4 linked regions of the Notamacropus eugenii genome follow. The protein of the gene in region 1 interacts with the protein of each later gene in a pairwise test. Links are inferred from orthologs where the notes say so. Each region holds a gene or a part of one and is shown in the gene's direction. Other genes may lie near its edges. The genes, in order: L3MBTL2, STAC3, TBC1D9B and PHF10.

What was found.
Region 2: the proteins of L3MBTL2 (region 1) and STAC3 interact in binary tests that used the Homo sapiens proteins (3 or more experiments, as listed by UniProt). The two-hybrid records come from large-scale screens. The link is inferred for Notamacropus eugenii from reciprocal best matches to the Homo sapiens genes L3MBTL2 and STAC3.
Region 3: the proteins of L3MBTL2 (region 1) and TBC1D9B interact in binary tests that used the Homo sapiens proteins (3 or more experiments, as listed by UniProt). The two-hybrid records come from large-scale screens. The link is inferred for Notamacropus eugenii from reciprocal best matches to the Homo sapiens genes L3MBTL2 and TBC1D9B.
Region 4: the proteins of L3MBTL2 (region 1) and PHF10 interact in binary tests that used the Homo sapiens proteins (3 or more experiments, as listed by UniProt). The two-hybrid records come from large-scale screens. The link is inferred for Notamacropus eugenii from reciprocal best matches to the Homo sapiens genes L3MBTL2 and PHF10.

Annotation. Positions count from the first base shown.
Region 1 is NC_092874.1:300,263,207-300,270,265, forward strand, and holds the start of L3MBTL2 (lethal(3)malignant brain tumor-like protein 2), read left to right. Parts: upstream 1-4,059; 5' UTR 4,060-4,226; coding exon 4,227-4,244; intron 4,245-6,760; coding exon 6,761-7,034; intron 7,035-7,059. UniProt on the Homo sapiens protein: Putative Polycomb group (PcG) protein. PcG proteins maintain the transcriptionally repressive state of genes, probably via a modification of chromatin, rendering it heritably changed in its expressibility.
Region 2 is NC_092874.1:232,680,179-232,687,280, reverse strand, and holds the start of STAC3 (SH3 and cysteine-rich domain-containing protein 3), read left to right. Parts: upstream 1-4,101; 5' UTR 4,102-4,197; coding exon 4,198-4,296; intron 4,297-4,567; coding exon 4,568-4,835; intron 4,836-5,094; coding exon 5,095-5,192; intron 5,193-5,425; coding exon 5,426-5,501; intron 5,502-5,949; coding exon 5,950-6,041; intron 6,042-7,102. Other genes in the region: R3HDM2 (R3H domain-containing protein 2), read left to right, coding at 1-360. UniProt on the Homo sapiens protein: Required for normal excitation-contraction coupling in skeletal muscle and for normal muscle contraction in response to membrane depolarization. Required for normal Ca(2+) release from the sarcplasmic reticulum, which ultimately leads to muscle contraction.
Region 3 is NC_092872.1:416,422,777-416,430,701, forward strand, and holds the start of TBC1D9B (TBC1 domain family member 9B), read left to right. Parts: upstream 1-4,919; 5' UTR 4,920-5,081; coding exon 5,082-5,199; intron 5,200-7,925. UniProt on the Homo sapiens protein: May act as a GTPase-activating protein for Rab family protein(s).
Region 4 is NC_092873.1:266,066,045-266,073,940, reverse strand, and holds the start of PHF10 (PHD finger protein 10), read left to right. Parts: upstream 1-4,879; 5' UTR 4,880-4,938; coding exon 4,939-5,028; intron 5,029-6,395; exon of another isoform or gene 6,396-6,577; intron 6,578-7,896. UniProt on the Homo sapiens protein: Involved in transcription activity regulation by chromatin remodeling. Belongs to the neural progenitors-specific chromatin remodeling complex (npBAF complex) and is required for the proliferation of neural progenitors.

The DNA of each region.
Region 1 (7,059 bases):
TGGAGGCAGGAAGACCTGAGTTCACATCCCACCTCAGACACTTACTAGCTGTGTGACCCTACGCAAGTCACTTTCCTCATCTGTAAAATGAAATAGAGAAGGAAATGGCAACCCGAAAGGGGTCACAAAGAGTAAGACATGACTGGAAAAAAAAGGCTAAAAATATACTGTTTACTATGTACTAGGCATTGTGCTAAGTCCTCTACAAATATTATCTTCCTTGATCCTCCTCACAACAACCATGGGAGGTAGGTGCTATCATTATCCCCCTTCTACAGATGAGGAACCTGAGACAGACAGAAGTGAAGTGACTTACCCAGGGTTACATAGCTAGGGAGTATCTAAGGCTGGATTTGAGCTCAGGTCTTTCTATCTCCATGCTCTGAGTCTAGCTGTTGTGCTCCAGATCAGAGTTAAGAAGCTGTGCAAAGTTGCAAAATTGTTTTTCTTCACAAATAGTTGTAGTCCTTTTATCAGCTAGTTCTGCCCATCATGCTGCATCAGTTCATACCATCCAGGATTCTCTGAAACTGTCTCTTTGTTCATTTCTTATGGTGTAACACTATTCTATTACATTCACAAACAGCAGTTCTTTTCGCCATTCCCCAATTGTCTAAGAGGCAATATGATACACCCCTGTAGAGTCTATTTTTTTCTCCTTTGTTTTCCACCTGCAGGATGAGAATATTTATTTGGTTTATGATGTTTCCCTCTTCAACATCATTCTCTCTCTTAATCTCCACCACTTTTTTTCCTCCTCCAGTTGAGATGGTTGGTGTTGAGCCTGTGTGTGTTTTCCATCCTCCTTTTTTTATTTTGGGTAAGAGTGAGGTTCATTAAACACCCACTTCCCCACCCATTCCTCTATGTTTGTATGTCTTCTCAACCCCCACAATTAAATGAAATAATAATTTCTCCCTTTTTCCTCCTTTTAGACACTAGTACAGTCCTCTTTTTACTCTCTCTCTTTTGGCAGTTAGTCCAGTTTGACTGAAACAGTGTGTTGAGGGGACCATGCCACAGTCTGAAGGTATTAGTGGAGTCAGAGGGGCAAGGCTCAATGACTTTGAACAAATTATTTTCCTTCTTTTGAACCTCTGTAAAATGAAGAGAGTTGAAAAAAATATTTATTGTGCTAAATACTGAGGATACAAAGAGAAAATTGAGACAGTTCTTGTTCCTAAACATCTTTGATTCTAACTGGAGGTAGAAAGCACAGGATAGGAGGATTCTGATGCAGGACAGAAGGCAATCTTATTAGGGTGCTGCAGCAGGGTGGATGGTAAGGCCTAGTGGTCTTCTTCATAACTGGGAGAAGAGGATCTGACCATTCAAGGACCAAATTCGATGATCCTATACCATAACCTCACTCTACATATTTAGTCTTTTCTCACACTTTTCCACTCATTTTGTCTATGAGCAGTCAGTCTGGACTATGAGATATACTGAAAATATTGTGCTTTTCTGCCTCTAGGCCTTTGGTCAAGCTAATTTTTGTGCCTAGACAGATCTTCTTCTCCTTGTTCCATTTTTGAATTCCTTTTGAATTCATCTAATTCAGATACTCAGAACTGTAAAGCAACCTGGCATGTTGAATAGGGCATTGCATTTTGAGTCAGGAAGACCTGGGTTCGAATTCCACCTTTGATACTTACTAAATGTATAATCTTGGGCAAGTGATTTAATCATTCTGGGTTTCAGTTTCCTTACCTTTAAAAAGATGTTGGAATCCATGGTTTCTATTGTCCCTTCCAACTTTAAATCTATAATGTTATGATCTACCCTTTATGGCACCCAGAACAGGGCAGGCAGCACAGGATTTACCTGGTTGCTTCTGTGTCTAGCCCAGAGGAGCTTGCCTGGAGAACAAATAGATCATTATGTATTTTCATTATTTTCATTTTCATTATCTATTTTCATTATCTATTATCATTATTTTCAAGTCAGTTCAACAAGTATATATTGAGTGCCACCGTGTACCACAGACTGTGCTAAATGCTAGGTATACAAAGAAAGATAAAAGACAGTCCCTGCCCTAAGGGAGTTCACAGTCTGTTGGGAAAGACCACATGCAAACAACTATGAATGAGCAAACAAGTTACAGATTGGATAACTTGAAGATAATCAACAGAGGGAAGGCACTAGCAATAAAGGGGGATGTGGAAAGACTTCTTGTAAAAGATGGGATTTTAGCTGAGGCCTGAAAGAAGCCAAGGAAGCCAGGTGGCAGAGATGAGGAGATAGAACATTCCAGGCATGGGGGAATAGCCAAAGAAAATACCCAGAGTCTGGAGATGCAGGTTCATGTGCAAGGAACTGCCAGGAGGCCAGTGTCATCAGATTAATGAGTGTGTATCAGGGGACCATTGGAAGGGTAGGACAGAGCTAGGTTACGAAGGGTATTGATTTTGTATTTGAGCCTGGAGGCAATAGGGAGCCAATGGAGTTTATTGAGTAGGGGATGACATGATCAGACTTGGGCTTTCGGAAAAAATACTTCAGTGGTTAAATTGAGAATGGATCGGAGTGGGGAGAGATTTGAGGCAGACAGACCCATCAGCAGCTACTACAATAGTCTAAGCATAAGATGATGAGCATCTGCATGAGGGTGGCGGCAGGGTCAGAGGAGAGAAGGGGGCATAATTCTGCAGAGGTAAAATCATCAAGACATGCTGCAGCGATGAAATCAACAAGAGGTGCTGCAGAGGTGAAATCAACAAGAGAAGCTGCAGAGGTGAAATCAACAAGAGATGCTGCAGAGGTGAAATCAACAAGAGGTGCTGCAGAGGTGAAATCAACAAGAGAAGCTGCAGAGGTGAAATCAACAAGAGATGCTGCAGAGGTGAAATCAACAAGAGAAGCTGCAGAGGTGAAATCAACAAGAGAAGCTATAGAGATGAAATCCACAGCCCTTGGAGACAACTTGGATATAGGAGGATGAGAAAATCCAGGATGATTTGGAGATTGGGAGGCTGAGGGAGAATGGTGATGCACTCGGCAATAATAGGGAAGTTAGGTAGATTATGAGAGGCAACAGGCTCAATGGGCAGAGAATAATCCTGGGAGTCAGAAAGACCTGAGTTCAAACCCTGTTTCTGTCTCACATAACCCATATATGACACTAGACAAATCTATTCACCTTATTGCCCCAGACAGCTCCGAACCACTATAAATTACAGAGAAGGTAAAGATCTGCATTGGTGGAGGGAGTTTCTTCATTGGAAGGTGAGTGAGAAGAGGAGCGAGGCCAATGGAGCAGAGGCAGCTATATTCTACATGCAAAACCACAAAAGAGCTCCTTTTCTTGGTGGTGGTGGGGGTGGGGGTGGGGATCACTGTCAGTAATCTATACACTATCCAAATGGTAGAGTGCAAACAATACTGAACTTGGAATCGGTGCGACTTGGCTCTGAACCTCTTCTCTGTATTTATTAGCTTCATTATTTTGGACAAGTCTCTTCCTCATCCTGTGCCTCACTTTCTTCCTCTGTAAAATGAGGGGGGGTTGCACTGGATGGTGTCTCAGGTCCCTTCCAGCTGTAATTTATAATTCTTTAATTTATAGGTCATCTATAATCTGTAATTCTATGAATTGATCTTGAGTCAGAGCACATGGCTTTAAATCTTGGCTCTGATTTTTCTAATAATGTTATCTTGGGTAAGTCCTTTCCCCTCCCTAGGCCTCAGTTTCTTCTTCTGCATAATGAGGAGGCTGGTCTAGACTGGCTGCTGAGATCCCTTTCAGCTCTATCTCTAGAATCCATCACTTTCCTGGACCTCCATTTCAGCTTCTGTATAATGAGGGTCGCTGGCCTAGACAGACTCTGAGATCCCTTCCAGTTGACGCCCTAGGATCCCTTCAGCTCCCTGAACCTCAGTTTCCCCCTCTGCATAATGAGGGGCTGTCCTACACCGCCTCCGAGATCTCTTTCAATCCAAAGACTGAAGGCTTTATCAGCCTATGTCCTCTCAGCTCCGTCCCGCCCCCTTCTCACTCCCGGGACTACACTCCCCACAAGGCTTAGCGGGCCTATCTAAGCACGCGCCAGGATGTGGGCGGCCCTTCCTGCTGCTCTCGGCGGCGACTGGCCTGGCGCCGCGGGACGGCTACCAATGGGCTTCGTGCGGGCGGAAGGCGCGGCGGCCATGGCGGCGGCGGGCTCGCGGTGAGGGCTTCGGCTTGGGTTCGGGCTTCGGGCTTCGAGCCTCGCGGCCTAGGCGGCCTCATGGAGCGGGGCCTCGAGGTGAGCGTGCTCTGGTCGGGGCCCGGCCCGGAGAGCCCAAGCGCCCCCTGGGGCCGGGCCGGGGTCCCCTGCGCAGGGCGGAGGAGTAGACGGGGAAGGGGAAGCTTTGTCCCTTTAACGGTGGGTAAACTGAGGCACGCGCAGTCGCAGAGGCGGGGGACCGAACACGTGCTTGCTCCCGCCGCAGAGGCGCCCGCGACCCTTAGCCGCGGTGACCTCGCAGGCCTTTTACAGAGAGGGAAACTGAGGCCCGGAGAGGCCTGGCCCGGCGTCCGGGGCCCTCGAGGGAGGCTGGCGCGCCCAGGCCTAGGGGGGCCTGACTCTTCCTTAGCAGAGGGAGCTCCCAGGGGAGCGCACTCCCTCCGCCTCCCCCACCCGCGGCCGTGGGCTTCCCCGGGGGGCCCCGGTGGGGGAGGGGGCGGGTCAGCCTGGGGGAGCCCCCCCCATACTTAGCGAAGCCCCCCGGGGCCCCCAGCTTTGGGCAGAGGCCGAGACCCAGCCAAGGTCACCCAGTCAGAGCTGGGCCTCGGATGGGCTTTCCCGGTAACCGGGCTTGGCATGCAGTAAGTGCTTAATGAATGCTGCTTGGCCCGCCCCGCCCCGCCCCCCGGGTGCCTCTTTTTGTTCCTGTCCTGGATACTAAGACCAGAGCTTCGCCGACTCCCATCGCTCCGGGCACTGGGCCGGGCTAACATCCGTCCGTTGGCCCCACGGGGTGGCGTTATTTGTATTTATTGTGCTTGTCATCATTTGTTTGACCCCACGTGGAGGGAGGGAGGGAGGCAGTCAGTGTTAAGCACCTGCTGTGTGCCCCACGCAGAAGTCAGAGGCCCTTCCCAGCCTGCCGTCCCTTGGCGGCTCTTGTCATCTCTGCAGATGTTACTGCAATGACCCTCTCTAAGAACTGGAGGGGATTGGGGGCTTCTTGGTAGTCACCTAGAAGGCTTTCCAGGTACAGTTTTAGATTCCTGCACCAGGGGTATCCTGGTTTAATTCACCCTTTTGTGCCTTAAAAAATAGATTTGCCCGAGTCACCCTCCAGCAGCGTCCTTGGTGGGTGGAAAAGAAATAAGGGTGAGCAGAACCCCCAGACATGGCAAGGCCCACAGTGGAAGTCAGGAGTAGGCTCCCAGCTTTGGTGGGGGGGTCTTTAGGGTCACTCCCTCTTCCCTTGGGCCCCTCCCTCTGTCTGCTCCTGAGCCTCTGGGCAGGCCCACTGCTCTGCACCAGTTCCTATGAGTCTTTTCCAGGTTTTCTCTGCATTTGTCGTCTATGTCATTTTCCATGTCACTCTGCATGTCCAGGCCACCTTTGGTTCCGCCACACCCCTCTTGGGCCCGCCGTGCTTTCCTGAAGAGCTGGGACTGTTTTATTATAGGAGGCACCTCTGTTTCTGTGGTCAACCTCTCACTAGTGGGAGGCCTGAGGTGGGAGTTGCAGCTTTGGTCAAATCATTTAAATCTGTCTTCCCGAACAGCTCCACCAAGACTGTATTGGGGTCCCCCGCCGACAGGGACCGGTCTCTTCCTTTGTCATCTTTGCCCATTTTATGACTCACATGTCCAATAAGAGTTACTTGAATTGGCTTTTCTCTTATGATTAGTGATTTTGGGCTTTGGGGAAGGCATCCATGTCCTTTCCCCTCCTCTCTTATTGCCCTACCCCAACTGTGGAAAGGCCCAGTTGGTCACCCCCTCACACCTGGTTTTGAGTAAGCTCAGTTTTAGACAGTGTATGAGGAAGTGTGCCCAGAGACAGACAGACAGACAGACTGACAGACATACCCACCTCTTCCTAATCCCTTGGTTCCCTTTATCATTTCTTAGACCTCTGTCACTTAGCACAGCTAAGTGTGTAGTTCTTGTGTTTGTCCTTCTTGAAGAGGATCATGACGTAACTCCTGCAGCAGACCTTGATTTGAGTGAGAGGGCTGTCCAGTTATTCTGATGAGTGTCAGGCCACTAGATCCAGATGGCTCAGGAGATGAAAGTGCACAGCCCTCCCTCACTCAAATCAAAGTCAGCTATAGTGTATTGAGTGGTAGGGACTCAGTAAATACTGGGTAACTTCACTTGTTGACTCAGCTGTTGAGTTGGGGGTGGGGAAGAAGGGGTATTAATGGTTGTGTGTGTGTTTTCACATCACCCTCCTTTCTGAAAATGTCCCCTTTCTCTCCTGCTTCCAACGTGAGCTCTCCCTTGTCAGAAAGAGTCACCTTTTTCATTGTCCATATGGGACAGTATTTCTGGGACCTTTGAGGGGGTCATTGGCGGGGAACCAGAGACCCAGTGCAGAGGCCAACCTGGGGACCTTCTCTAAGCCTCCTCCTTCCCTGCCACACCCAGGTGCTCAGCAAGCATTTATTAAGCACCTGCTCTGTGCCAGGTGGGCCCTATGTGCCAGTCCTCATGCCCAACCTGTGGAATTCCGAGGAAGACAAAAGGCAGGCCTGTCCTCAAGGAGCCCACGGTAGAACAGCAGTCTGCCGTCCTCACTTTCTGTTACTTTCCCACCAGGAGACACCCTCCTCTGAGAGAATGGAAGATGAAGAAGAGGAAGATGAGGAGGAGGAGGAGGAAGAAGAGGAGGAATTGGACCTCTTTGGGGACTACGACACCTTCCAGGGCTACACCAGCAGCCTGGGCAGCGAGAGCAGCTCCTACCTGGAAGAGTCCAGTGACAACGAGAATGAGCTGAATGACCGAGAAGCCGGGGAGCTCCCCACATCTCCTCTGCTGATGCCCAGCCCCATCACCCCTCGCTCCCAAGATGGCAGCGGTTCTGAGCCAGGTGCTTTCCAGGGCCCCTGAGGTCA
Region 2 (7,102 bases), about 68 Mb from region 1:
CTGGGGCGGGTGTTGGAGGTGACAGATCTCCCTGAGGGCATCACCCGCACAGAGGCCGACAAACTCTTCACGCAGCTCGCCATGTCCGGCGCCAAGATCCAGTGGCTCAAGGACGCTCAGGGGCTGCCAGGCGGCGGGGGCGGGGGCGGTGGGGGGGGTGGGGGGGACAACAATGGGACTGCCGAGAATGGCCGGCACACAGACCTCGCTGCCTTATACACCATCGTGGCTGTGTTCCCCAGCCCCCTGGCGGCCCAGAATGCCTCCCTCCGCCTCAACAACTCCGTGAGTCGCTTCAAACTTCGAGTGGCCAAAAAGAACTATGACCTGAGGATCCTGGAGCGGGCCAGCTCCCAGTAGGCAGAGGAGGGGAAGAGGCCAGCACCACGGGTTGGGGCAGGGTGGTGTGGGCAAGGGATGCAGAAAAAGCACAGATAGAGATGCTGATCCAGACAGACATGAGACATGCATAGAGATAAGACATAGATATGGAGACTGAGGCCATAGACAGTGAGACAGGCAGACACAAACACACACAAACACACACACACAAACACACACACACACACACACACACAGAGGACTCAGTCTGGGGTTTTCTTTGCCACCTTTTCCCTCTCTTTCTCTGGGTGGCACCTCTCCTCTCTGCCTCCCTTTCCCTCCAATCCTCTCCCTCCTTTTTTGGACATCCCTTTTTCCCCATCCTGGCCTCCAATGCATTTCTTTCATTTTGGAGGGGTAGTATGGAGGGGTCCTACACTCCCCCATTCCTCCCCTTCTCCTGCCACCCCATCTCCTCTTCCTCTTTTTGGTCTTTATGAATATATTTATATGGACAGAATTAAGAAGAAAAAAATAAATTGATTTTCCCCCTCCTTTCACTTCCCCACCATCTTGTCTCCCCTATCCCATGAGTTAAACCTGTGCCTACCCCTCCTCTATCCACCCCAGCCCCCCAGAACACTTGTATATTGTTTGTTTGAGGTTCGTGCCGCAGTAACAGACACAGTATTTAATTGCACATACAGATGTTTGCTGGGTATGTTCACTGTAAATTTTATTTAATCTGGGTTTTTTGTTTGTTTTGGGGGGTTGTTTGGGGGGTTTTATTTTATTTTATTTTTGTTTTGTTTTTAAATATAAAAAAAAATCATCTGTCACTGGACGTCAGTCCTGGTTTCTCTGTTACTGCCCTTGGGAGGGGGTTGCAGGGAAGGATTTGGGATAGAGTGGAGTGGAGCTGCCTTCCAAATGGATGTGATCCTGCCACCCTCTTTCATTCTCCCATCAATCCTCCACCTGTTCCTGTAGGTGTCTAAACCTTTGGCTTCAGGTCCCTGATGGGGCAGGTATGAAGTGAGGACATGAATGCAGCTGAGTTTCTGGCCCAGCCCTCATCTTCCACTTTCCCCCTGAAGTCTTTTTTAATACTGTGCTGGCAGGTAATAGGGGAGTAAGTGTTCCCTGCAATAAAAGCTGCATTTCCAGAACCTGCAGTATTTTGACTTCCTCAGTCAGTCAGGATAGTCTCAGCATCCCCTTTCCTACATACAGGAGAAAGAAAAGTCATACCTAACAAATTAGCCCTATGCTATATCGCCACATACCCCTTTTTGATCCTCATGCCTCTCAGTAAATCTCATTTTCCTTAAGTTGCCCTCGATCCTAAGATATCTTAAGAACCCAGATGCCTAGAAGTAGATCCACCTTCAAGTTCAGCCTACACAAAACCTCACTGCCAGAAACTTACTGGCGATCTTTGACCCCACTGGACCCCATGTAGAAAGGAACAGAAATGGGTTGAACAGCCTGAGCTTTCACTTGGGGCTAGGTAGCTTCTCTATTGGGTTTTTTCTGACCCTCCAGTCTAATCCAGCTGTTAGAGGGTCTTCATACTTCATACTTGGAATTGGTGAGGCAATATGTTGTCATTAACAATTTCTCTGCTGTGGTAGGAGTATCTCCCCGCCAAGCTATCCCCCTACCCAAACTAATAGAAGAAGAATGGCTTGGTACAGTGGAGAGAGCCCTGGACTTGGAGTCAGAGGCCTTAGGTTAGAATTCCAGCTCTGCTGGCTCTGTTACTCTCTGGGTGATCTTGGGCAAGTCACAAGGTCTCTTGGTATCAGTGGCCTCATCTTTAAAATGAGGGGGTCAAACTAGATGACCTTTCAGGTCTCTTCCAGTTCTAGAAATCTGTTACCCTATGATCCTGTGACATGCACTTCAGGTACAAATTGGCCATATTTGTGAAGTCCATGTTCTGGGGCATTCTGGTGTGGGGGAAGGGGAATCAGGATGTTGAGAACCATCAGAGAGAGGGGGAATGGGAGGGCCATCTTGCCCCTAAAGTCTTCTTGACTAACATGGTGGGAGGGTCAGGAAATAGAGGTCTGGCGATACACTAGTTATGAGGACATTTTCTTAAGTAGCTGAAACTATCTCTCCATTGTTGTTTCTTGTAAACATGGAGGCAGCTCCCCCCCACCCCCATCTGGTCATTGGGTTGTTGAGATTCTTCATTCCCTTTTCCCATATGGATCCTAGACCACTTTCAGTCACACTCGGGCTCCCTGCCAGCGTGGTTGGGATGGGAGATTGCGGGGAATGAATGTCCAGATACGATTCAAGAAAGGGGGCCATATTAGATTGTACAGTTCTTTGCAAGACAGGTAAGCTATCCCCTTCCCCTCACCAGGGATGAGGAAGCAGCCATATCTTGTTGAGAAGTAACCCTGTGAACTTGAGTTGTCTTTCTTTTATCTCCCACCCCAGTTCTCAGCCTAGGACTACATCTGCCTGAAGTGTTCATAAAGGGACAAAAAGCCACCCTTGATATATTCAAATGTAGGTGCCCTACAAAGACTTGGGGAAGGATGATGTGAATAGGTGGAGTTGAAGCCAGTAGCCTATGGCTTCTAAGGGTGGGTCCGGAGTAGATAGAAATGATGAAAGTGTTTAGTTTTCAAAGTGGAGGAGGGGCAGGTTGTAACCTTTTTTACTCCAATCAACTTTCCAGAATCCCTCCTAAAGGGGCACAAAATATGAGCGGAATTGTCCTGTAAAGCATTTAGTTACTACTATACTGAACATAGGTGAAGGGGTGGGGATAGGGCAGCTGTTATCTCAGCCAGTTGTGGCTGAAGAGATTTGGGGGAGGGAGGTCAGGGTCCAACACTGCCCCAGGCCTTTTAGTTTCCAATTTCTCTGTGTCAGCTGTGTTGCTCAGCTGTCCACTCTCCTCTAGCCCTGTCACTTAAGCTGTGACGCTGAAGGGAGAGGCTAGGTCTGCACGCACCAGCTGGGGAGACGTGAGCACCAAGGGTATTTTGGGGGTATAAAGCCCCCCGGGCAAGAGGACAAAGCCTTCTTTTTCCATTCCCATCCAACACCAACACCAAGCCTCCTAACCTGGCATCCTCTTACCTCCACTGGCTGTGGACTGACATAGGGAATCCCAAACGTAAGTTGCCTTTTCTTACGACTTACCAGACAGTGACTCCTTGGGCTCCCACATCTCTCAGCCAGTTCACCTCTCCCGTTTGCCTTACCTGGCTGTTAAGTAGTCTGGGGTGTACCAGTTCCAGTCATTTCTTTCCCTGAAGAAAGGGCTGGGATCAGGAAAGAGGGTTGGGGAGTTAATGTCCAGGGTATAGAGTAGTAGAGAAGGGAGGTCATATTACATTGAAAACTTAAAAATAGCCAACCCCCAAGGCAGGCTGGGGCAGGGCCTGACCTAGAGGTAGTGTTAAAACGCACTCCCACCCCCAGGCTTGGAGAAATGAGGGGAGCGGGAATTCTCTACCTCTTTTCTCAAAGTGAGAATTTGGGGGAGGGAGAAAAGGAATCCAGGGAAAGGTTACATAGGGTCATATACAACTGCCTATAGCCTTGAAGAAAAGAGAAAGCCTCAAAATGAGAAGTCTGTCTTGATGGAACTTCTACAAGGGAATGGAGGCTGTCTTCCGTAGGCCTACCTCGGTCATCTCCCAGTCTGGGCCCTTATATGGAGTCTCCTTGTTTAGGCTCCTTTGTTTATTAGTCTCTCATTCTGGAAGAGGGAGATAGAGACCCCCTTTGTGTGTCTCAGCTTAAGAGACCTGCAGTTCTCTTCCCAAAGCTCTATTTGTCCTATCCTACAAGGTGAGTTGAGTCCCTAGAAGTAAGAAAGGGAGGGGGGAGGGGTGGCAAGGAAGGATGAAAAATCAACAGTGGGATCCCCACTCTTGCAGGATGACAGAAAAAGAGGTTCTGGATTCTCCCAAATCTTTCCCAACAGAAACACCAAAGAGTGGGGTGAGTCTGGGCCTCTGACACAGGGCTTTGATAGGTGGGAGGGCACACTAACAACCCCACTCTTATCTGAACTGATGGTTACAGAACTAGAGGCTGTGGGGCTCATCTCAGTTATGTGTAATTTATTTAAGGTACATTTGCCCTACACACACACTCTCACTCCCTCTCCCCTCTGGGGAACATCTCAACCCTTGACCCAGAACATTTCCCAGGTGGTTTTAGCCTAACGAAGTGGAACTGTAGTCTGAATCTTCCCTTTGCTCCTCCCTAGCTACAAAGGCTGAAGCAATTATTCAGGAAGGAGTCTGTAGAAAGAAAGGAGATGGAGCCCCCCTCTGAGCCCCAGGCCAATGGAGAGGCAGTAGGGGCTCAGGGGGGACCCATCTACTACATATATGAGGAGGAGGAAGAGGAAGAAGAGGAGGAAGAGGAGCCACCCCCTGAACCCCCTAAGCTTGTCAATGACAAGCCCCACAAGTTCAAAGATCATTTCTTCAAGAAGCCCAAATTCTGTGATGTCTGTGCCAGAATGATTGTTCGTGAGTCTGGGAAATAGAGGAAGATGGGATGTGTAGAGCGTCATGGGACTGTGGGTTGAAGGGACTGGGAGAGAGATCAATATTGCACAAATTTAGATGAAGGTGGGGACTGTTAATGGATGTGCTTAGAGAAGCCTGGATAGGTTGAGGCAATCTAAGAAATGAAAGAGGAGTCACTCGGGATTGGGGTGATGCTGGAAGCAGAGGAGTAGAGAAAAGGTTTCGTGATCTCACCCAAATGTTCTTTCCCTCTACCAAGTTAACAACAAATTTGGGCTACGATGCAAGAACTGCAAAACCAATATCCATGAACACTGCCAATCCTTTGTGGAGATGCAGAGATGCTTTGGCAAGATTGTGAGTTAGGTCTGGGAGCACGGGGGTGGAGGGTAGTGTTGAGGACATCTGTACTCTGGATGAATGCTTCATAAGTTACCCCCATTCATTCCTTGGTATCTGCTTCCCCAGCCCCACTCATAAAGGACAAAACCCCCCTGAATAAAGGAGGAAGGCTCCTGGGTGCAGAGAGGGGGCTTTTGGGTCCAGGGCCCTCTCCCCTTGTCTCAATCACCTTCCTGTCTCCCCCACAGCCCCCTGGTTTCCGCCGAGCCTACAGTTCTCCACTCTATAGTGACCAGCAGTATGCCTGTGTCAAGGACCTACTGTGTAAGTTGCCTTTATTCCTCCACCCAGTTGAGGGAAATATGCCAGAAAATTGATTGTTTCTGTAGTCTGGAAGCTTCTTGGTCACCATGACTGCACCACTCCTGACTTGGGAAACTGAAACTTAAGACTGAAGTCTCTTGATGCCTAAATTCTAGACACCCTGGTTTTATTCTCATCCTGAAATTTTTAGCCACTCCAGCTTGTAGACTCTTGGAAGGAATCCATACCTATCTTGAATACCAGCCCTGTTGTTTCTAGGCCCAAGTGTCCCTGAGTTCTAAGTAGAAAGCAAAACTTCTAGTCTCCCCCCTCACTTCCCTGTTACGTTCTCAGACCTCCTTCCCCACCTGTATCCACTCAGTCCTGCTGTCTTCCACAGAAGAGGACCCTCTCTTCCTGTTCGTCAGTAATGTTTCCTTCTCTTTCCTATGCCCCCTTTTACTCCTAGCCAACCGAAATGACCCTGTTTTTGAGACACTTCGAACTGGAGTGATCATGGCAAACAAAGAGCGGAAGAAGGGACAAGCAGACAAGAAGAACGTGAGCTTCTTCTGCCCCTTTCATGGTTGGAGCCCCACCCCCTTCCCAAGAGACCTGCTTGAGACCCCTCAGGAATGCCTAATAAAAATAATGGCTAGCATGTCTGTAGAGCTTTAAGGTTTGCAAAACCCTTTACAAATATCTCATTTTATCCCTGGAGGATAGGTGATAGTAGTATTACCATCCCAACTGTAAAGATGAAGAAACAGAGGCAGGCAAAGGTTAAGAGACTGGCCCAGGCTCACACAGCTAAGTAATATCTGAGGTCACATTTGAACTCAGATTTTCTTGACTTTGCCACAAAGCTGTTCTAGATTCTCCAGATTATCCCTTAGAACTACAGCTGGGGGACTGTGACTGCCATTGAGGGGGAGGAGAACAGTAGTTGGGCATTATGATGAGGTTATCAGGTAGGATGCTTTTAAGAAGAGGAAAATATGTTCCTGCTAAACTAACCTTGTTTCACTTTCTGATGAAGCCATTGGACTAATGGATCAGGAAAATGTTAGTTGTGCCTTGACTTGAGCAAGGCATTGCTGAATGCTTTTAAAAAGCAGATTCTGTGAAGTAACCAAGTGCTTTTAGACCTGCCTGGAACAACATGTTTGTCAAGTTTGTGGATGACCTGAAGCAGGGACAGGTAACCAGTGTGCTAGCTGACAGAATTACAATTTAAAAACATCTCTTAGGGCTGAAAAGATAGGCAGAAATAACAAGATGAAGCCTAATAGGAATCAGTATACCTTGTTTACATTACCTCGGTCCTATTCCTTTCCTATTTTTACCTCATTTGAAGGTTCCATGGAAAAGGAGAGGCCTTAAAAGAAGAGACTTTTTATCAAACCCTTGATGAGCCAAGTGCATATTTTGTCAAGTGGAAGCAAGGTGGTGCAGTGAATTGGACCTGGTAGGTCTGAGTTCAAATCCTGCCTCAGATGCTGGGACCCTACCCTCCCAGGCTCAATTTCCTCATCTGTAAAAAGGAGATAATAAAAGCACCCAAGTCACAGGGTTGTTTTGAAGATAAAATGAGTTAACATATAAAGCCTTTTGCAAACCCT
Region 3 (7,925 bases), on another chromosome or scaffold:
GTGAATGGACCTGAAGTTATCAAGGGTACAGAGTTGCCATTTAGCCAATTACTAAATTAATTTATGATGTTCAAATCAACAACAGTCATTTATTAAATGATGGCTAGGTACCAGGCACTGTGCCAGGCAACAAGAATACAAAGACAAAGATGAAATATATCCCTGCCTTTGAGAGGCTTACCTAAGTAGCATGTACACTGATATGTACATGCAAAATAAATTAAAAGTAATGTACATACAAAATAAATTAAAAGTAAAAGAAGGTACCAACAACTAAGATAATCAGGAAAAGTCTCTTTTAAGAAGTGATACTTGAGCTAAATCTTAGGGTAATTTAGAGATTCTAAGGGGTGGAAGTGAGGAGGAGGAAGGGAATTCCAGGCAGGGGGGAAAGGCTAAGGAAAGGCACGGTGGCAAGAGGATGGAATGCCATGTCCTGAGGACAGCCAGGGGGCCAATTTGTCCAGCACACAGAGTGCCTGAGGAGGGAACTGTATGAAATCAACCTGGAGTCAGATTGTGAAGGACTTCAAATACCAAACATATTTTACCATAGCAGCAATAGGGAAGACACTAAACTTCTTGATCAGAGGAAGGACAAGGTCAGAACTGTCCATGAGGTAGCTGTGTGGGGGGGAAAGATTTAAAAGGGCAGAGATTGGAGATCAGGGGACCAATAAGGAGGCTACAAAACAGTCTGGGTAAGAGAAGGATATGAACAGGCAGCTTTCAGAGGAAGAAATTAAAGCTATCTATAATCATATAAAAATGCTGTAAATCACTATTGATTAGAGAGATGCGAATCAAAACAACTCTGAGTTACCACATCACACCTATGAGATTGACTAACATGACAAAACAGGAAGATGATAAATGTTGGAGAAGATATATGAGAGTTGGAACACTAATTCATTGTTGGTGGAGCTGTGAGTTGATCCAACTATTCTGGAGAGCAATTTGGAACTATGCCCAAAGGGCTACAAAAATGTGCATACCCCTTGCCCCAGCAATATTGCTTCTAAGACTATATCCCAAAAATATCATAAAAATGGGAAAGGATCCCACATATACAAAAATATTTATAGCAGCTCTCTTTGTAGTGGCCAAGAACTGGAAATCGAGGGGATGCCCATCAACTGGGGAATGGCTGAACAAGTTGTAGTATACGAATGCAATGGAATATTATTGTGCTATAAGAAATGATAAACAGGGGGACTTCAGAAAGGCCTGTAAGGACTTATATGAACTGATGCTGAGTGAAATGAGCAGAACAAGGAGAACATTGTACACAGTAACAGCCACAGTGTGTGAGGACTGTTTCTGGTAAACCTAGCCCTTCACAACAATGCAATGACCTAAAACATTCCCAAAGGACTCTTGAGGCAATATGCCATCCAAGTCCAGAGAAAGAACTATAGAATCAGAATGCAGAAGAAAGCAGACTATTTTCTCTTGTGTTATGTTTTATTTTGACTTGTTTTTTCCCATGGTTTCTCCCATTCATTTTAATTCTTCTATGGAACATGACTAATGTGAAAATGTGGTTAATAAGAATATATGTGGTTGAATAGGAAGGGATGATACCTAAAAAAATAAAATTAAGGGGTGAGAGAGGAATATATTGGGAGGAGAAAGGGAGAAATGGAATGGGGCAAATTATCTCTCATAAAAGAGGCAAGAAAAGGCTTTTTCAATGGAGGGGGAAAAGAGGGAGGGGAGAGGGGAAAAGTAAAGCTTACTCTCATCACATATGGCTTAAGAAGGGAATAACATGCACACTCAATTTGGTATGAAAATCTTACACTAAGAAAAGTAGGGGAGAAGGGGATAAGTGGGGTGTGGGGGGATGATAGAAGGGAGGGCAAATGGGAGGAGTGAGTAATTAGAAGTAAACATTTGAGGAGGGCCAAGGTCAAAAGAGAGAATGGAATAAATGGGGGGCAGGATAGGATGGAAGGAAATATAGTTAATCTTTCACAACATGACTATTATGGAAGTCTTTTGCGTAACTACACATGTATAGCCTATATTGAATTGCTTGCCTTCTCAGCAGAGATGAGTGGGGAGGGTGAAAGGGAGAGAAGTTGGAACTCAAAGTTTTAGGAATGAATGTTGCAAATTGTTTTTGCATGCAACTGGGAAATAAGAAATACAGGTAATGGAGTATAGAAATCTATCTTACCCTACCAGAAAAGAGAGAAGATGGGGATAAGGGAAAGGAGGGTGTGATAGAAGGGAGGGCATATTGGGGGAAGGGGTAATCAGAATGCATGGTGTCTTAGGATGGGGTGAGGGGAGAGATGGGGAGAAAATTTGGAACTCAAAATCTTGTGGAAATGAATATTGAAAACTAAAAATAAATAAATAAATGAATGAAGTATGTGTAAAGCCCATATAAGATTGCTTGCTGTCTCAGAGAGGGAGGAAGAAGGGAGGGGGGGAGAATCTAAGACTTGTGGAAATGATTGTAGAAAACAAATCAATTCATTTTAAAAAAAAGAGGTGAGGAAAGATTGATCTATGGTGGTTACCATATTAATGGAAAGAACACTGAATTTGAGAGATGTCTTAGAGGCAAAATGAACAAGCTTAGGCACTTGTTCAGATATGGTGGGAAGCAAGGCCTTCAAGTTGATTCTGAGGCTGCAAACCTGGGTGTCTAGTTCTATTCTGGATATCTTGAGTTTGAGATGCTTATAGTAGGAGGTGTACTGGAGCCAGCTTGAATTACATCACCAGAATCAATTTTTAAATTTTCAGTGTGAACATTTATTCCTCAGAAACTGGCAAATACTACAAATCAGGACTTAATTTATTGATTTATTGATTGTCTACACTCAAGAAAGTGATGGAGAAGCAATACCATTATTAGGTCTGCATCCCAAAGAGATCATAAAAAATGGAAAAGATTCACGTATACAAAAATATTTACAGCAGCTCTTTTTGTAGTGGCAAAGAATCAGAAATTGAGGGGATGCCCATAAATTGGGGAATGGCTGAACAAGCTGTGGTATATGAATGTAATGGAATACTATTGTGCTATAAGAAATGATAAGCAGACAGACTTCAGAAAAACCTGGACAGACTTACATGAATTGGTCCTGAGCAAAGTGAGCAGAAGCACAATGTTATACGATGAACATACTTAGTTCTTCTCAGTAATAAAATGATCCAAGACAACTCTGAATGGCTCATGATGGAAAATGCTATCCACATCCAGAGGAAGAACTATGGAGTCTCAAAGCAGATCAAAACATATTATTTTCTTTTTTTTTTCTTTCTCATAGTTTTTCCCTTTTGTTCTGATTCTTCTTTCACAACATGAGTAACGTGGAAATATGTTTAATATGATTGTACATGTATAGCCTATATCAGATTTTTGCCATTTTGGGGAAGGAGAGGGAGAAAGGGAGAAAAAACTTAAAACTCAAAATCTTACAAAAGTGAATGTTGAAAACTATTTTGCATGTAATTGGGAAAAACAAAATGCAATTAAGTGGGAAAAAAATTTTAAGTGATGGAGAAAATGTTAATAATGCAAATTAAACTTAAAGGTGCGTTCTGTATACTTTTTTCTGAACGTCAGTTGTTAGACATTTGTCATTTACACCCCTACCTATGGAATATCCATATGGAAATGTTCAGCAAATAGTTAATTGTTAGAAACATACTTCAAACAAAGAACAATACTTGTTGTGAAATCAGGAAAGCTCATCGCCCTGAATGAATGAGTGGTTCCTGATGGACTGCTCCATTTGTTCAGACCAAAGCAAGCCTTTTCATGCTGTTCCCAATTCAAATTTCCCACCTTGCTCTCCATTGACCAGCATTCCACGATTCAGCCCACCCCACGTGGGCCACATTCCTCATTTTCATTATAGAATGACATGAGATAAATTCTTTTAAAGGAATTCCCTTAACTGATGTGCAGTCTTTCTGATGTTGACCTGAAAGTTTGGTTAAAGATGCAAACAGGTTAGGTGATATCTTAATTGAAAAGGTGGTAAATACAATAAGATAAGAGAGTTGACAAAGTATTGATTGAAATTGAGACCCAGGATATCTGTGCTTTCTTTACCATTAACATGCCATAACATAGTATATGTCCACAAAATATTAAGAAAAAGTCCCATTATTCAAGAAAGTGTCTTAGTTAAGGGTCTCATAAGAAATGCTCTTAAGTCAGCCCCATCTGGTGCTGTTGACACAGGCAGAGGTACTCTCTAAGTTTACTCAGAGTACAAAGAAGCTGTGAGGTCCAGATTCTTCTTCTTGTTGATTAGTTCAGGCTCTGGCCCTTATTGAGGTCCAAAGATGATATTAAATGATTATCACTGGTATTACATATCTTACATATTTTCTGTGGAAACGTAAGTTTAATTCATCTCTTACATATTGATGTGGGCTGGAGAGTAGCTTAGGGAGGCCTTTACACTGATACAAAAGTTGAACCCATACAACTGATGGAATCTCCAAAAGAAAGACTACAGAGAAAGAAGAGACCTCAGGACAGAGTCCAGAGTTACACCCAAACACAGGAGAGACAAGAATGATGTGCTCAGTCCCATGGAACTTCCCTGCGGAAGGCCAAGCTCAGAGCCCAGGGAACGGCCCCAGGACCTCAGCCCCCTCGGAAACATGAGCTGCCCGTGCACTCACTGCTGCCTGACCTGCTGGGCAAAGGCAGAATGTGGAGAGAGGGAGAGAGGAAGGAGGGGAAGGAGGGGAAAGAAGAAGTAAGGGGGCGGAGGAAAAAGAGGGAGGGGAAAGAGAGCCAAGGGGCGGGCGGAGCGAAGAGCCGGGAAAGGGGGTGTGGCCGAGGCTGCGGGAGGAGGCGGGGCCAGGCCCGGCTGCGCGAGGCTGGGGTGCCCCGAGAGGCCGCCAGGGGGCGCTGTGCGGACGCCGGGTCCCTGGCCCCGTAGGCCCTCACTCCCTGCCCGGCTCCGCTCGGCTGCGCTCGCTCCATCGCTCTTTCCTGTGCTCCCGCCCGCTTCGCTTCCGCTTTCTCGGGGAGCTGGGCCCGGCCCGAGCCCGACCGCTCCTGCTGCTCCGGGGAGCCCGCGGGGCTCCGGGTCGGCAGCATGTGGCTGAGCCCGGAGGAGGTGCTGGTGGCCAACGCGCTGTGGGTGACAGAGCGCGCCAACCCCTTCTTCCTGCTGCAGCGGCGCCGCGGCCACGGCAAGGGCGGCGGCCTCACGGGTGAGGGCCGGGGCGGCGGGGCGCCGGGGCGGCGGACGGGGAAGCCCCAGGCCGGGGACGGTGCGGGCCGGAGGGGCCGCCGGGGCCGCCGGAGAGGGGGAGGGGCGAGGACCAGAGGCCTAAAGGAGTGCTGGGAGGGGGCGGGGCCCTGGAACATCTGGCGACCCTCCGGGGCCCCTGGAGGGGGAGAGGCTGCCGCGGGGGTCCCCGGATCCTTCGGGAAAGAATCAAGAGGTGCCAGCTTGCTTAGGGAGCGTGCCATGTGTCCAGCCGGTTATACCGATGGGGAAATTGAGCTCCCGAGCAGGTCCTGGCCGCGGAGGGCCTCCGGACCCGCCCCCCGAGCTGTCTGGAGAGCGCTGGGGCTTCAGCGAAGCCCAGGATCTCCCCTCCGCCCCGGGCGGGGGATGCCACTAGAGCCCCCCGTCAGCAGGCCTGGCTTGTCGCCTCCCAACACGGGAGGGGAGGTTACTGGGCTGCCTGATGGCCTGGGTACATCCCCAGGGGAAATTGTTTGTAGTTTTCTGGCTCTTCCTCTCAGTCAGCTGTGGCTTCTCCCAGATGTCAAGGGTGCCTTCCAGTAACATCTGCCCCCCCTGAACGTCTTAGCCTGGTCATGAGAATCAGGGGAGGAACTTGACCTTCCTATGTGAAAAGTCGGTGCTAATCCCCGGAAATACCGAAGTATTAGCTCCAGAATCCAGGCAGATCTCACACCAGCTAATTGTTCTACTCCCTGAAATTCTCTACCGGTTTGGTTGACTTTAGCTCCTGCCGAACTTTTGGTACAAAATCGTTTGGTCGACATGTTAGATTTTGAATTTCCAGCCCCAGGCTAAAGCGATGGAGTTTTGTTGAACAGATTTCCAGTGCTCTGTACTTTGGGGTACATCGCGGTGGAGAGACAGGGAAAGTGCCCCAGTCCTCTGTTCTCATCCTGCTGTTGATCATGACCTTGGACCTCACAGAGCTCTTTGCGTATATCTCTCTCATACAGTTTTTGTTCATTTGTCTTTCTCATACAGCTATGTTCTCATCTAAACTTTCCCTATACTCAGGTGCCTAAGAAATGATTTGTTAAAGAATTAAATAATGAAGTGAATGCTGATAGATATCTCAAAAGTGCTTTGGGATCCTTTAGAAGTTAAGGTAATACAGCTAGGTCCCAGTCTCTGAACAGTAAACCCAAGGAAGAGGTCACATTCAAATTGTCATTGTATATTTCCATTGGGCTGGAACCAGTAACCATATTTTACATGTAATTATAACTTGGAACATTCAAATGATATGACCACTTCACAGGAATCATTATTCAACCTGTCTCTATAAGCAGTACATGCTTCCGTGCCAATGTTATAGGAAAAGGAAAGACTAGTCACTTATAGATAGAACAAATAAAGACCATAAAGAAGAAATTATGACTGTATAAAGTAGTTATATAGTGAGAAACGCAGTACATTTAACACTCCCACTTTTCCAGAGGTCAGACATCTAGTATTCTCAAACATATGGAATGTTCCCCCAACCAGAAAAAAGCAAAGACCTTCAGATCAGCATCATGTACTTTGTGCCTCTGATGAACCGGGCCTTCCTCCTCCAATATCTTTATCCTGGATGTGCTCTATGCTCTTCCTGCATGACTCTTCTTGAAAGCCCAATTCAAATGATACCTCCTCCCAGAAATCTTTCTTTGGTTCTAATGACTTTTTAACACCTCATGGTATTTTGTTTTTCAACTCTTTGATGAATTTAGATCATATTACATATTTTAGATACATAATTTAGATCCTTTTCTCCCTAATAGACTATGAAGGCAGATATCATATTTTATCTAAACTGTATCCCATACTCAAAAGAGTGCTCTCAATGCAATAGGCTCTTAAAAGTATTGAATGAATGATTAGATGATGTGAGAATAGTAGCTAGTGGGAGCACAAAGACTATGGGGAAATGTAACAATGAGAAGAGATAACTGATAGCCAGAAAGAGACAGAAAAAAACAGCCCAACCCAGTCCAAAGCCATTTGGCCTAGCCAAGAGCTCCATAAACTTCCGTAGGCCTTGGGGGAATGATTTCATTACAGTTAGAGCATAGTCATTGGCACTCATAATGATAACCCTTAGTCACTGAGAAAAGACTAATTTTTATGCAGAATTATACATCAATTATTGTGTACTCTCAAAATGTTATTCTCAGTATTCTCTGTTTAAGAAGGCAGGGATATATTTCCTGCATTTTAGAACATTTGTATCCATAATGTTTAAAATAAAGCAAGTTTGAACAACTAAAGGGATAAGATTTGGTAATCTAGAAAATGAATTTCTGTGGAAACCCAACCTTAGGTCCTAGGTAAGTGCTAGAATAATAAATTAGCACTACACTAATTTGTGTTAGAAGCATGGTCAGGAAAAACTGGCTACTTCTATCTTTATGGAGTCACCAAATTTTAAATAGATAAGTACAGAAATAGAACTAAAAGAAAAATTGGTCTTCTGATAGGGAAGCATGCTTCCTTTTTCTCAGTGGAGAAATGGACTGTAACTGGAAAATGAAGTATTTGTCATCAGATATCACCAATATGTTGACTTGTTTTGTTTGACTTGTCCTTCTTCATTACAGGGGAAAGGTCTATGGTAATAGGAGAAGTAAAGAGGATGAAGGGAACACAGAATAATTGGGAAATGAATTTGATGTCAGAAAGTGGGGGGAACACATCAATAAAAAT
Region 4 (7,896 bases), on another chromosome or scaffold:
ACGGAAACAGCAGGCATGTCCATGTGATGGGAACCCAACCACTGCCTCTACTTAGCTACCTGCCCCCAGACCCATTCCCACATATTTGAACAGGTATGTTCTTGTACTCAATCACAATCACATCACCCATCCAGTCCAAGACAGGACCATAATACTTAACTATCTATCTTGACCAGACAGGACCACAACAGCTAGCCAAATGGAGGGCAGCATGATCAGAATGCTTAACCACTAAGCCACAGATGGGATCCCTCCTCCATTACCTAATCCCTTAACAAACTCCTTCTGCCTTTTTAATATTAATCATATTCCTATATTCTATGTAAATTTCTGTTATGTAATTATATCTTTACCCTACAAAAATCCATCTTGCTTTCTTGGAAGTTGCTAGCTCCTCTTGGAACTTAATCAGCTTTTTGAGAGGCGACAATCTCAATAAATGCCTATACTTGGATTAGAGGTAGTTTGACTCTGAATTCTTTGATACAGTTCTACCCCAATACATCATGAAACCAAAACAATTTTTGGTGTCCTAGAGTTGAAACCTCAACAGTTTTTTACAATTAGATTATTTAGTTTCCAATTAATTTTTATTCTCCCATGGTCTTTACTGAATGTAATTTTTATTGCCTTATGCTTTGAAAGGGGTGCATTTAACATTTCTGCTTTTCAGCATTTGGTTTTGAGGTTTTTAATACCCTAATCCATGGTCAGTTTTTATGAAGGAGGTATGTATAGCTGAGAAAAGGGTATATTTTTATCTATTCCCATTCATTTTTCTCCAGAAGTCTTTTATCTAACTGTTCTCTAACATTCTATTCATCTCCTTGAATTCTTATTTATTTTATGGTTAGATTTATCTAGTTCTGAGAGGGGAAAATTGGGGTCCCCATTTGGCACATATATTTTAGTATTACTATTACTTCATTGTCTATAGTTCCTTTTAGAAAGATGTAATTCTCCTGCTTATACCATTTGATCAGGTCTAGTTTTACTTTTACTTTATCTGAGATCATCATTGCTGCCCTTGCCTCTTTTATTTCAGTTGAAGAATAACAGATTCTGCTTCAACCTCTTTATTTAACTTTATACATGACTCTCTGTTTCAAGTGTGTTTCTCATAAGCAACATATTGTTGGATTCTAATTTCTAATCCATTCTGCTGTCCACTTCTGTTTTATGGGTGCCTTCATTCTATTCACATTCAGTTATGATTACTAACTGCATTTCCTTCCATTCTATTTTCTTCTCTTTATGCTTCTCTTTTTATATATCCCTCCTTCTAAAGTCTGTTTTGCTTCTGACAATTGCTTTCTTTTGTCTGTCTTCTCTTTAATCACTTCCCTTGCCCCTTTTTCTTACTTCTCCCTTTTTCTCATTGGGCAATATAGGTTTCTATTGCCAATTGTATATTAATTACATAAAATTAAAAGGTTTTTGCACAAGTAAAAGCAATGCAGTTAAAATTAGACAAGCAGATATGAGGAAAATATGTTTTCAGCAAGTTTCCCTGACTCATTTCTAAGATTAAAAGCCATTCCCCAGTTGATAAATGGACAAAGGATATAAATAACCAGTTTTCAGAGAAAGAAATCCAAGTTATCAAGTCATATAAAAATGCTTTAAATTATTAATTTGAGAAATGCAAATGAAAATACCTCTTAAGTTCTAACTCACACCCATTAGACTGATAAAGTTGATAAAAGAAAAATAAATGCTAGAGGTATTGTGGAAAAACAGAAACATTAATGAATTGTTACTCTGGATGGTGACCTCACCTAGACATTCTGAAAAGTAATTTGGAATTATCCCTCTGCAGCTACTAAACTGTGAATTCTCTTTGATCCAATGATACACAAAAGAGTAAAAGGGTTCATGTATACAAGAGTATTTATAGAAGCTCTTTTTGAAGTAGCAAAGAACTGCTCAAAAAATATTAAACTCATCAATTAGGGACTGGCTGACCAAGTGATAGTATATGAATGTAATAGAATAATATTGCGTTGTAAAAAAATAATGAAGATGGTTTCAGAAAAACCTGGGAAGCGTTATATGTTAGAACTGATGCAGAATGAAGTAAACAGAAATACAATTTCTATATTAACAACAATGTTGTAAGGACAAACAACTTTGAAAGATTTAAGATCTATAATCAGCACAATGAAAAAGCACAATTCCAGAGGACTTTTAATGAAACATGTTACCTGCATTCTAATACGCAGGTAGGTGATGGACTCAGTACAAATTAAGATAAATTTTATTTTGGACACAGACAGTTTGGGAATTTGATTTACTTGGCTATTCCTGTTTATAACGTAGGTTTTCTTTTTTTCTCAATGGGAGAGAAGATGGTATTAGGGAGAAAAGGAGGATCTTTAAAAAATGTGAATATTATGGTACAGTTAAGAAATAAGAAAAATTTGAAGAAACAAGAGAAGATTTACATGAACTGGTTGAGATAACAATACATATAATGACTACAACAACTTGAATGAAAAGATCAGTAAAACAAAGTATTGAGTAACTGAAAAACCAATAAAGGAGATGGAAAACAGATGACATATCTCCACAGTACCATGGAAGACTATAATGCATATTACAGCATACATTTTCAGATGTCACTATATTGGATGCTTTTACTTTGTTTTGATGTCTTTTTAATCACAGGGAAAGTAATCTGAAGGGTGAAAGTTGAAATGACAGATGCAAAGACAGGAGACATTAATAAAATGTACTTTAAAAATCAAAGTAAAAATCACTTTGTAAAAGTCAGCATTATTACAACTGTGTCATTAATCATTAGCAATTAGTGTGGGATAGGGATGGGGCTCAAGTAGAAAGCAGTAAAGAAGAAACATGTCAGACCCACTTAAGGGTGCACCTAGAACTGTGAGGGGGCACTTTAAGCCTGCCTTTAGGTAAATTCAGAGAATATGTTCTTACATATATTTGTTGTCTCTTCTTCTATAATGTGTAATGAGGGACTGACCAATAAGCTCAGTTCTTAGGAGTCCTTTATGAGTGCAGCAGCCTGGTCAATACAGTTCTCCTCATAGGAGAAGCTGGGGAACTTTCTTTAAGGAGACTGAAGTGCCTTGGAAGGACTCTGAAGAATGTGTAGACATTCTGAAATGAGTTTTGTTCTGCTAGCCACATGATGAATGGCAGCCTCTACGACTTACAGTTGAAGAACCTGATTCAGAGGTACATGCAAAAAGTTTTGGTCAGTTTTGGCTTCTCCTTTGTTGGATCACCCATCATGGTTTGACTCCATTGATAATTTCTGTTGTGTGTGTTTGTCCTTCCTTCTGAAGAAGACCATGCCATCACAGAAATGATGACATGACTTGCGCTTGACATTGCTTTGAGTGAGGGAGGCTATGCAGGTCACCAGCCTCACTTCTCCTCCAGAGCCATTTGAATCCAGTGACCAGATATTCATCAGAATGACTGGAGATGGCCCAGGATGAGGCAATTGGGGTTAAGTGACTTGCCCAAGGTCACACAGCTAGTGCGTGTCAGGTGTCTGAGGGGAGATTTGAACTGAAGTCCTCCTGACTCCTGCACTGGTGCTCTATCCACTGCACCATAAGAACTAGAGGTAGCTACAGCTGAAGAAGGTAGTTTAGCCTAGAAAGAGGAAAAATAAGGACATACTTAAGCATGAAGGTTATCTATCATCTACCTGATCTATCTGTGTACACCCCAGGGGGGGCATACAGATATCTATCTCTATCCCAGTCTGGGCTGACTGGTTGGAACGGCCCCAACTACACATACATCTATGTAACATGTACACACACGGTTACATTTATACAGACATGATTGCACATGGGCTCTCTGTCCCAATCAGCACCTCCCTCTCTCATGCGTGTGTGCAGATGCACGTGGGTATGTATGTAAGGTCAGTCACCCCCGAGTGAGATCGATCTTTCCCGGCACCAGGTGACTGGGGGCCTGGCTGTATTTGGGGACCCCAGTCTGCCGTGTACAGGTGCCCCCCATTGCTGCTGGGGCTCCCCACGTGCAGTCCCCTATACCGCCCTCTCGGTGCCGGGACGAAGCCCGCCGCCCTTTCCCGGGGTGTTTTCCGGCGAACAGGACACAATAGCAGGGAGGACAAAGGCAGCCCAGGGGCGGAGGAGGCCAAAGGGCCGGAAGCCGGCCGCCCCGCACCCCGCAGAGCCCTCCCGAGGAGGCCCCGCTCCGCCCCGGAGCTCCTAAGGCAGGGCAGCCTTAGGAGGGAGCCGGGCGGGAGGGGACGCGCCGGCCCCCGGACGCACACCACACAAAGGCGGGGCGGGGGCCGCGGCCAATGCGCAGAGCGGCCCGGCTGCGGCAGCGGCGGGAGCGGAGAACAGAGGGGGGCGGGGCCGCCGAGGCTGGGGCTGCGGAAGGAGGCTGGAGGGGAGGGGGCGGGGTGGGGAAATCGAGGCGAGGGGGAGCGGACCCAGCGGAGCCGGCAGCAGGATGGGCCAGGGGGCGGGGGAGCCGGGCTGCGGTGGGAGGGGAAGGGGGTGACGTGAGGAGGGGGCTGAGCCGCGATCGCTTCCATTCCTCTCCCGCTCCCCCGCTCTCCGGGCAGCAGCGGCGGCAGCAGCCTCAGCGGCGGCGGCGGGAACTGTGACTGTGACGGCGGCGGCGGCGGCGGCAGCAGCGCTGGCGGCGACCGTGGCGGTGACGGTGGCGGCGGCGGCGCCGAGCCGGGGGGCGCGCGGCGGCGGTGCCGGCCGGGGCTCGGGCCGGGGCCGGCCGCCTGGCAGCGGCAGTGGCGGCGGCGGCGGCGGCGGCGGCGGGCGGGCGGAGGGGGCAGGGGAGGGGGCGGGGCCGGGGGAGCGGACGCCGCGGAGGCCTCTCCGCGCGGCGGCGGCGGCGGCGGTCAGGACGAGGCGGCGGCGACGGCGGCGCCGGCGGCGCGGGGGGCTCGGGCTCGGGCTGATGGCGGCGGCGGCCGCCACCCCCGGGGCTGTGCTCTCCCCGCGCCTGTGCGACAGCAACCCGGCTACGCCCGGAGCCCAGTCCCCGAAGGTGAGCGGGCCCGCGAACGGGGAAGGCGCCGGCCTGCGGGGTCCCCGGGCTCGTCCCGCCCCTGGGAGCCCCTAACGGCGGCCCTTAGCCCTGGGGGTCGCCAGCCCCATCGCGGGCCGGACGGGGTCGGGGTACCCCGGAAACAGGTGCAGGCGGGCGGGGTCCCGGGAGGGTCTCTGCAGTTCCGAGTCAGGGCCACAAGCTAGGGAAGTTGCCAGGGATGTGCCCGTCAGCCTCCCCGAAAAGTCCGGCCCCAAGCTGTCAGCGAGCCTGGATACCGAAAACACGGAAGAGGAAGGGAGCAACCAGACGGGGCTTAACCCCGCTTCGCCTGCGGGTCGTTCCTGAGCGATTTTTAAGCCACCCCCCTCCCCCAAAAGTTCTCAGGTAGCCCCAGAAAGGAAGTCTTCCTCGATCTTGGCCCTTGCTTGCTTCGCCCCCCGGGCGGCCCGGCCTGGCCTCTGTGGGCTGGCTGTCGGCATCGTTTGGGACACCCGGGCCCGGACAGAAGTCTCCACAGTTCAGGTCGCTGCCAAGAAAGGACTTGGTCCTGTTTTTGTGCGGTTTGCTCAGGTGTATCCGGATATTAACTCGGATCTTAAGTTCACTGTAAAGAGTTTTTAAGCTCCGGATAACGCCGCAGAACTGGAAAGGTTTTGTAGCTAGTTACATTTTTGGCATGTCCACATGTGTGCAGTCACAAAGCCGTTGGAGTATTGAAGTAACACTTGTAATTATTTCAAGTTATTGAATTTATAGTGAGTCACTAGTTTACTGGAGAAGTTAACATAGGACCACCACAAAAGAATCTCATTCAGGAGACCTTTTTCATCCAAGACACCTTCAGTTTTACTCCGGAACTTTGTTTACAAAATGACCTTTTTGCCTCTTTTTGAAAAAGAGGGATTAAGTTTGTTTTGCTTGGATCTAGCAGAAGCATTGAGTGGAACTTGGAAAAAGGCAAATTTAGATTTCATGTTAGTAAAAAACTTAGAAATACCCAAAAGGGAAATGGGCTGTCTTGAGCAAAGGCTGGATAACCACTTGTGGGATTATGTTGTTTTGGGGATTTTTTCTGCATCCTTTTTTATAAGCACTGGCCAAAATTGGAATGAAAATTGCTCCTGAAAATATGAATAGAATATTACAAGAACACTTTTGCATGCATTATTTTGCTTGATCCTCAACCATTTGAATTAGGAAATTCAAATATTATAATCCTCCCATTATATATGACCTCAACACAGTTGAAGTATAGAGTCAGCCTTTCAGTTTGTGAGACCCACCCCACCTCTAACTAGCTTTATGACCTTGGATAAGTCACTCAACTTTAAGTGCCCCAGGCACTTTTTTTTTTTTTTTTTTAGGTTATACATTTGGGTGCTGATCTGCTTTAAGTGGAAGGTGTTTTCAGACTAGGAGGTCCCTGTGCAATGAAATTGAAAGATGAAGTTCCTTCCTCCCCTCTGGAAAATAAAATGCAAATGAGGAAAAGGTTCCGAGGAGTTCTAACTTATCTCTAACTAGTGAAAGAAGGGAGACTTCAGCTGTGAGTGACAGTGATAGATCTAAATCCAAAGTACCATATTGTATCTACACTATGATGTAAATGCCACGTATTTTATTTTTTAAACATTTGCCTAGATTTTCAAAACTGTGAATCTGAGTCAGCATTTTCTTTTTTAGAGAAGCTGACTAAAAAAATTATCAATCATGGAAAAATAAACCAGCCTTTGACCAAAAATTAATAAAGCATATGCTTAAGATAATACAAAAAATGGAATCAAAACTAGGGCATTTTGATATTTCTGACAATTTTTATTTGCATTTTTTCTTCAACTGGATTTTTTAAGTACAAACTGGAAAAATGGAGATCTTCCTATTTTGCAAGGGGGAAGAACTAAGGACAAAATAAGAATTTAAATATTTTTAAATGAAAGGGCAGAGAAAAATATCCAAATGAGCATATGTAATCTTAGAAGTTAAAAATACTTTGTGGCTTAAAAGTCATGATTAAATGTTGAAAGAGAAGCAAATACTTTTAAAAACTCATCTTGAGATCTAGTAAAAAAGTTGAAATACAGCAGTTAGACATTGAACAAACACTGTATTTCAGGCTAAGTACTAGGGATACAAAGGCAAAAACAGATCCTGCTCTCAAGGAGTTAGCCTTCTAAGGGGAGAGCCAACCTGTAAATAACTATGAACTAATAATAAAGTCAGTCATCTCAAGATTAAGGATGTAACCACTCTAGATTTGGAAATTGTCTTTTTTTTAAACTGGAATTCTTTTACTTTGAAATGATGATTTTATTGGTATGAGAAAATCACAAATCCCCTGAACTTTTCTAATGCGCTTCCTCTGGCTCTTCTAAGATTTCAGAAGTATATAGTAATACAGGGGTTTTCTATTATTCACTTTTGATTTTCACAGTAATCACTGACTTGACACCTTTTATAGTTTCTTAATCTTCATATCTTTTATAGCATTTTTTTGTCTTGGTAATATTCTGAAGCCAACCTTATAACCATCAGCAAGATCTCCATTGCCCTTTGAGTACTTGTAATTTTAATTTTCCTAACATTATTGTGTGTATGATTTGCATTGGTATAGCATCATCAGGAGAACAATGTATAATGCTCAAGAGATGCTAGATTCTAGCATCTGAACTTGACAGAACAAATCCCCTTAAATAAAAGGATCTGTTCTGTGAAGTTTGGATTCAGTCAGAGGGCCACACTTGAGAACCTAGAGGGCTATGCATGGCAGGTTCCCCACCCCTGTTTGCTAGAAGAACATCTGCTAGAGATCAGGCGTAATCATATTTGGAAAACTAGACTATTTAATTTTTAAAAACAAATTTTTAT